Linked DNA regions of Macaca fascicularis. The protein of the gene in region 1 interacts with the protein of each later gene in a pairwise test. Links are inferred from orthologs where the notes say so. Each region holds a gene or a part of one and is shown in the gene's direction. Other genes may lie near its edges.

Region 1 (3,757 bases):
AACATTAACCCCACCTCTAATTTGTTTCCTGATTCCCACTACCGGCTTGGACATTCATCCCTTTCCCAGCAGAGACTCATATCCAATCCCTGATCCCTGATACTGATCTAAGTTTTACCTTTAGCACCAAATCGCCTGATGTTAACCCTAAATGTTGACCCCTAAGCCTAAAGTTCATTTGTAACTTGATTCCTAACTCACACTTTCACTGTTTATCCTTAATACCGACCATGTCAACATTCTTTAATCCCTCAAACAGGCTCTAACCTGATTCCTGTTGTTGACCCTTAACCCGACCCTGAACTCAAATTATGACGTATGATGGCCATCCCAGCAAACAAAATAATGACCTTAATCTAAACCTTACCTACCTAAAACGGACCTGACTCACACTACTAACTCTTAAGTTTTAACCCCAGCTTTTAACTCCTATAGCGACCCTTGATTCCTAAACGGACCCCACCTAATCCCCAACTCACCCAAAGCTTTCCTACCCACATGGCCGCTATCAGCTAACACCAAAGCCCGTCCCCGTCCTGCGCCCCGCTGCCACCCGACTCCTCACGCTCCCCAAAGCCTATCCCAGGCAGAGGACTGCCCCCAGGAGAGGCCTGTCTCCCCTAAGACGGCCTACTTCACGATGAGCCCAAGTTGAGATGCGCTGGACGCTGACCTCTCCAACTAACAGAACCCGAACCGGACACGCAGGAGAGGCAGGGCCCCGCCCGCCCCCGGGGCCAGGCTCCGCGGCCCCACCCTAAGGCCCCCGCCCGGCCCGGTCTGGCCTACCTGCGCTGCCCGGCTCTGCGCCCCGCCTGCCGGCCCGCCGGCCCGCTGCCCTGCCGCTTCTCGGGTCGCCCTCGGGCTCCGGCCTCGCCCTCCCTTCGACACTCTCTCGGCCACTTCCGTCCTGGGAACGTCCCCCACCCGCGGGCGGCGCCCTGGGGCAGCGCTCTATGGTCGCGGGGGGCAGGCAGGAAGCTGCTCTGGCCGCGTTCTCGATGCTCGGGGGCCGCCAAAGGCCGGCAGCCCCTCCCTGGCAGGAAGCGAGGGTGCGGCGCAATCCGGAGAGAACGCCAAGACGACGCCCGAGTTCCCTTTCAGGCCAGAACTCTTCCTTTTTCTAGCTTGGGGGAGAAGGCGGAGCCGGAGCCCTGGAACCCCCGCCCTCGGGGTGCGAGGCGGCAGCAGGGCCGTCCCCTACATTTGCATAGCCCCTGGGACGTGGCGCGGCACCCAGGCCTCTTCTCAGTTGGAGGGAACTCCAAGTCCCACAGTGCCACGGGGTGGGGTGCGTCACTTTCGCTGCGTTGGAGGCTGAGGAGAATTGAGCCTGGGAGGCGGGTCCGGAGAGGGCTACGGAAAGCCCCCGGCCGGGAAGCCCGGCCGTAGAGGGACAGTGGATAGGTGCCCGAGGCCTACAGCTGGCCTGGGGCTCGTGTCTGGGCTTCGGACGTTGGGGCCCGGTAGCCCACCCTTTCCGTAGTTGTCCCAAATGGAGCTGGAATTGGACGCTGGTGACCAAGACCTACTGGGCTTCCTGCTAGAGGAAAGTGGAGATTTGAGGACGGCGCCCGATGAGTCCGTGAGGGCCCCACTGGACTGGGAGCTGCCGCTTTCTGAGGTGCGTTGGGGTTCTGACTGGGGAAAGCGTGGGATGTCCATGAGGTCAGGGGATGGTGATAGGTCAAGGCCTGTTCACTGGAACCCTGCGCAGGTACCGAGCGACTGGGAGGTAGATGATTTGCTGAGCTCCCTGCTGAGTCCCCCAGCGTCGTCGTTGAACGTTCTCAGCAACTCCAACCCCTGCCTTGTCCACCATGACCACACCTACTCCCTCCCACGAGAACCTGTCTCTATGGATCTAGGTGAGTCTGAAATAAGTTTGCGGGGAGGACAGGGTTCATGGGCCTGGCTATTCATACGTTCCCTTTTGCAGAGAGTGAGAGCTGTAGAAAAGAGGGGACCCAGATGACTCCACAGCATATGGAGGAGCTGGCAGAGCAGGTACTTGACTTGATTTTCAGGAAGATTACTCTCACATTCCTCAGGTGGGGGCAGGATTCCCCATTCCTCTGTGACATCCCCATGCAACTGCCGCCCACTTTCTGGTTACCCTAGGATATTGTTAGGCTGGTACTGACAGATGAGGAGAAGAGTCTATTGGAGAAGGAGGGGCTTATTCTGCCTGAGACACTTCCTCTCACTAAGGTAAGACTCTCGTTAGTTGAGCAAAGGCTGAAAAGGGATTAAAAGTCTCAAGTAGGCCAATTCTGTTAACTTTATATCAATAACTTTAAAAAAGGATTGAGGTGAGAAACTTAGCAGATTTATTGCTAATAGGAAGTTGAGGCAGGTACCCAATATGCTAGATGCAAGGCAGATCCTCATTTTCGTTGGGCTTACACAAATTTTGGTGTTCTGTTAAAAAACAAACAAAAAAAAACCCTCAAAATTATCAGTGCAACATTAGTATTGGGCCTTGGAAAGGACTGTGTAAGTGAAGGGCCTTGACACTTCATTGGCTTCATAGTAATCCACCTCTTGCTGAATGGTAGAACTGTTTAGAGAGTTCAACACGATTGGACTAAGCAGTACATGAATAAATGCAAAATCCTTAGTTTCCAGTTTTAAGCAATCAGTGGCAACTTCACAAGCAGAGTACTGGGATACTATGATGAAATCAGTGCTCATTAATAGAAAGGTTCCAGGAATTTTTTTTTTTTTTTTTGACAAGGTCTTGTTCTGTTGCACAGGCTGGAGTGCAGTGATGTGATCATGGCACACTGCAGCCTTGAATTTCTGGGCTTAGGTGATTCTCCCACCTCAGCCTCCTGAGTAGCTGAGACTACAGGTGCACACCACCCTGCCCGGCAAATTTTTTTTTTGGTGTTTTTAGTAGAGATGGGGTTTTGCCTTGTTGCCAGGCTGGTCTTGAACGCCTGTGCTCAAGTGATCTACCCACCTTGGCCTCCAAAAGTAAAGAATTTTAATTCCTTCAAAGTACAAGATGAGTCAGCAGTGCGATGTGGCTACTAGGAAAGTTAATGGGATTTGGAAACTGTAGCAAGAGTTATTGTCTCCACAAGTCACTATCTTGCTTTCCTTTATACTGGCTAGAGCACATCTTTGACAGATACTAAGAAGATGCAGTCTATCCTAAGAAGATGAGTTAAAATTTTTGTCTAAGCTGTTTTTTTCTTGAACTTTTTTTCTCTGAGGAAATGTCAAATGCCTGAAAATAGCTTAACAGGGTTCATTCTATTTGGCCCCAGAGATACTAGGTAAGTCCAACGTATAGAAATTATAAGGAGACAGCTGTTGGTTCAGGATAAGGAAGTTTTTGTTTGAAGACAGATTCTTGCTTTACTGCCCAGGTTGGAGAATAGTGGTGAGATCATGGCTCACTACAGCTTTGACCTCTCAGGCTCAAGCGATTGTCCTTCCTCAGCCTCCTGAGGAGCAGGGACCACAGGCATGTGCCACCACACCCGGCTAATTTATTTTTAGTAGAGACAAGGTCTCACTGTGTTGCTCAGGCTGGTCTCAAACTCCTGGGCTCAAGCGGTCCTCCTGCCTTAGCTCCCCAAAGTGTTGGGATTACAGGCATGAGCCATGTCACTTGAATATTGCCTGACCAATTTTTTTTTTTAATAGTTTAAAATGGTCTGGCTTGTTAGGGTTAACACGTGCTCCGTGGAGGCATTCAGAAAGAATGTGAATGCCTATTGGTCAGGGAAGCTGTAGAAGGGATTTC
Region 2 (3,657 bases), on another chromosome or scaffold:
TAGGTCTTCAAGTGAGGGAGAAAATATTATGCAGATTAAATTGGAAAATATGTCATATCTATATCTGTTAAATGGTGGATAGCACCAAAAATATAGGAAGTAGTCTTCCAGTATTTGAAAACTTATTATCTGATTCAGTCATCATTGACAGGCAAGTGGAATTTTAACATGAATCTTCATTATTTGTTTTTCTTTATTTTATCTTACCCATTAGCATAGATCCAACATTTGTTAGAACTGAGCTCATTCATCAATTGCAACCATAATTTAGCTGCTGATGTGAGTTGTTTGAAAAATCAACTAAAACATTCTGTGAGAATCAATTGACTGAGATTTATAATAAAGTACATTGTAGATTTTATTTGTGAAATTGTGCACTATACATCCTTCATATCAGTAATTTATAATAAATTATGTGCCTATGTGTGTATATGATTCTGTCAATATATGGACATGTGTGTGCACGTGTTGTCACATTTTGCATATTGCCTCTCTCTCCTAAACACAGACCAGTTGTTAAATATTTAACAGCACACCACTGGGAGTATTACTATTACCTTGAAGTTTTGAGTTAAAAGAACTCACAATTTTAGTTTAATAACTCTGATTTGAGCAATTGAACAAACTGAACTGATAACCAGCAAATGTGTCACCGGTACCTTACATTTTACAGTGTCATTGTCTTTATCTAGTGGTCAGAGCTGCCCGTGGAAGTCAATTATCTCAGGTAGTCACCATGTAAGTGACTGTTATTCAATGCCGTAATTTCATGAGTGCAATATTTCTTCTTAGTGTGGAGGAACTTTACGGTGATAATCACTAGGAGAATGTTCACAATTAGGTAAAACATTCAGGAAAGAGTGCTCCCTCACTCTGTTAGCTTTTAGATTTTAAAAGATGGGGGTAGTATCTCACTTCTGTTTCATGTCACGCTGGTATTGAAGAGAGCAGAAAGGAGATTATCTTTTGTTTGATACCTGAAGAATGGGGCAGAATATGTGCTTAATGTACGTTTTAAGAGTAATCTGAAGCAGTGCAGCACAAAAATGGTCTATTATTTCAGGCCTAATATTGTTTAATATATATTTCTATTTGTGAAATATTATTTAAGGACATTGCCTTAAAATTATTCAGTATTAGACTGTCTTCTCTGAGTTAGTAGAGATCTTTTTAATTTCCTCTGCAGCACTGAACAATTGAAAATGTGTATAATATTCCTAACCTTTTTTGCAAGACTTTATTTTTCTGATATGTCATTGTACAATATTTAATTCTAAATTTATTTCAATTTCTCCCCCTTCAGTTTAATGAGTGGTGTTAAGAATAATGTTGGAAGAGGGATCAATGTTGCCTTGGCAAACGGTAAGAACAATTATTTTAGCCTATGGATGTAATCATTTTTCTGTCCCGAAGTAAAATGCAGTATCAGAGGATCAGGTTAGAAAGTGCTGCTCTTGATGATAAAGCCCTCTCTCCCATCCCTGCCCCACAAAAAAATCTATAGGTGGAGACTTGGTGTCTAAGAATTTATAGTGTGTTGCTTGAAAGTATCCTAACTTGCTATGCAAGAACTTCCCATGAGATTGTCATAAAACAAGCAGTCTAACATCACATCACATTGATAAAATCTTGCTTCGCATTTTGCAATCCTAACATAATAGGAAGATAGGTTGACAGGATTAAAGGTGTGTAAAATGACAAAGGATAGTGGACTGTTAAATGGTGTAGGCGAAGGAACAAAGAATAAGAATTTATTGTAATTTTTCATTGTCGGCCACATTCTTCTGATAGCTTAATTAGTATGAATAAGTTCATTGCATCCTGAACATCTCAAATTTTCCTTCAAAATCAAATCTGAAAACCTGAAACCATGAAGTAAAGCCTAACTGCATATTGATCTTCTCTGTTCTGGTACAATAAGTATTCCATAAAGCTGTGTAGGATGGTTATAAGATATATAGGATGGTTAGAAACCACTGTAGTTTCATAGAGTAGAAAAATATGTTTTACTACTTTCACAACAAGAGGTAAATTTTTATGTTTCTACTTTCTTCATTTCCTTAGGTAAAAGGTTCAGCATCTATTTGTCTATTTCATTAATAGCAAAAAATACATTTTATAGAGCAAGTTAATGTAAATTTTATTGTAAAAACTGATTTAATGTAGAAAATGGCATCTGATTCAAGGAGATACTTCTTTTCTGTAAAAGATTTACTTTTAAACTAACAGAATATGGAAACAAGGATGACATATATCTAACTGAATTGGAATGGTCCACAGTCAGTAATAAACTTCTATTTATCCTTTGGCTTAAAAGATTAATGAGAAAGTTGTATTAAAAAATTACTCTTTAAAAATATATTTCAGGTGTGTATGATTCAGATTTTAAGTTGTTCTCAAAGTAATTCCTTCTCTGCTAGTGAATTCACATCAATCATTGGATAAGATTATTGGTTTTACAGTGTATGATGTATTTCAGATGCATAATTTGATATGAATTTAATCTCTTTTAGGAAAAACAGGAGAAGTATTAGACACTAAATATTTTGACATGTGGGGAGGAGGTAAGTGTAAATAACATATGACTCTGTGTTCTTTTGCTGGCACTGACTTAATCACCTCAATACAATGTAGTCCATTAATGAGAGAATGATGATGCTATTTGTGTTAGTTCATTTTGTTTCCCTTACTTTCTGTTCACTAAATGTCCGGCTGTATTTAAGTTATCATTCATGTTTTATATACTTTGTTCTTCTTAGAAGAAAATTTTTGTGGTATGTAATTGAAGACAGTAATATCAAAATTGAGATTTAAAAAAAAATTTCATCTTGTTTTCTACAGGACAACCAATTCAAAAGTTTGGGGCTCCTTTAGGTTTCTGTCTAAAATTAAAAAAAAAAAAAAAAAACAAAAACCAGAATAACCAATGTAAGCATTCCTAAGTGATGGAAATTGATTTTTTTACATGTGATTTTTCAGTCTTAAAAATATCATAACTAGGAGCATTAGAAAGACATGATAAACTATCAGTTTTAGAAAAGCAATCCTATTATTCATCACAGTTCTACCCTCTGACTTGTGGCTAATTTTTTAGGTAGATGAATATTTGAGGGAAGAAATAGAATTTTCTTTCTTGTTAACTGGATGTAAAGCAATCCACAGATATTTTCCCTTTCCATATTTGGAAGTCCCACAAGGAGTGGGAAGAAGTTACCAGCATGTAGAGGCAAGGGACTGGCACCCCAAAGAAGAACGCTGCCCAGAAGGATGGGTTTTTTCTCTCAAGTTTGAAGGGAGGCCAACACTGGTTTATCTTTCGATTCTGTAATTTGGGAGATTTATCAGTATGAGGATCTCCTCAGCACCTCCCCATTCCTTTTATATATTCCCTAGAAGCCAACAGCTATTAGGCTTCCTGAAATTCATGTTAAGAGTTCTCAGATAATTTAGCTTTTCTAACATATCTTCAGCTTGTAATAAGATCCATGTAGCCGGATGCGGTAACTCACGCCTGTAATCCCAGCACTTTGGGAGGCTGAGGTAGGCAGATCACCAGGTCAGGAGATGGAGACCATCCTGGCTAACATGATGAAACCCCGTCTCTGCTAAAAATACAAAAATTAGCTAGTTGTGGTGGCATGCACCTTTAGTTCCAGC

What was found.
Region 2: the proteins of CREB3 (region 1) and FAM3C interact in a two-hybrid assay, tested with the Homo sapiens proteins (2 studies listed by BioGRID and IntAct). The two-hybrid records come from large-scale screens. The link is inferred for Macaca fascicularis from reciprocal best matches to the Homo sapiens genes CREB3 and FAM3C.

What each region holds. Positions count from the first base shown.
Region 1 is NC_088389.1:63,665,592-63,669,348, reverse strand, and holds the start of CREB3 (cyclic AMP-responsive element-binding protein 3), read left to right. Parts: upstream 1-1,295; 5' UTR 1,296-1,495; coding exon 1,496-1,624; intron 1,625-1,717; coding exon 1,718-1,868; intron 1,869-1,939; coding exon 1,940-2,007; intron 2,008-2,121; coding exon 2,122-2,211; intron 2,212-3,757. UniProt on the Homo sapiens protein: Endoplasmic reticulum (ER)-bound sequence-specific transcription factor that directly binds DNA and activates transcription. Plays a role in the unfolded protein response (UPR), promoting cell survival versus ER stress-induced apoptotic cell death.
Region 2 is NC_088377.1:162,974,794-162,978,450, reverse strand, and holds part of FAM3C (protein FAM3C), read left to right. Parts: intron 1-1,303; coding exon 1,304-1,362; intron 1,363-2,513; coding exon 2,514-2,564; intron 2,565-3,657. UniProt on the Homo sapiens protein: May be involved in retinal laminar formation. Promotes epithelial to mesenchymal transition.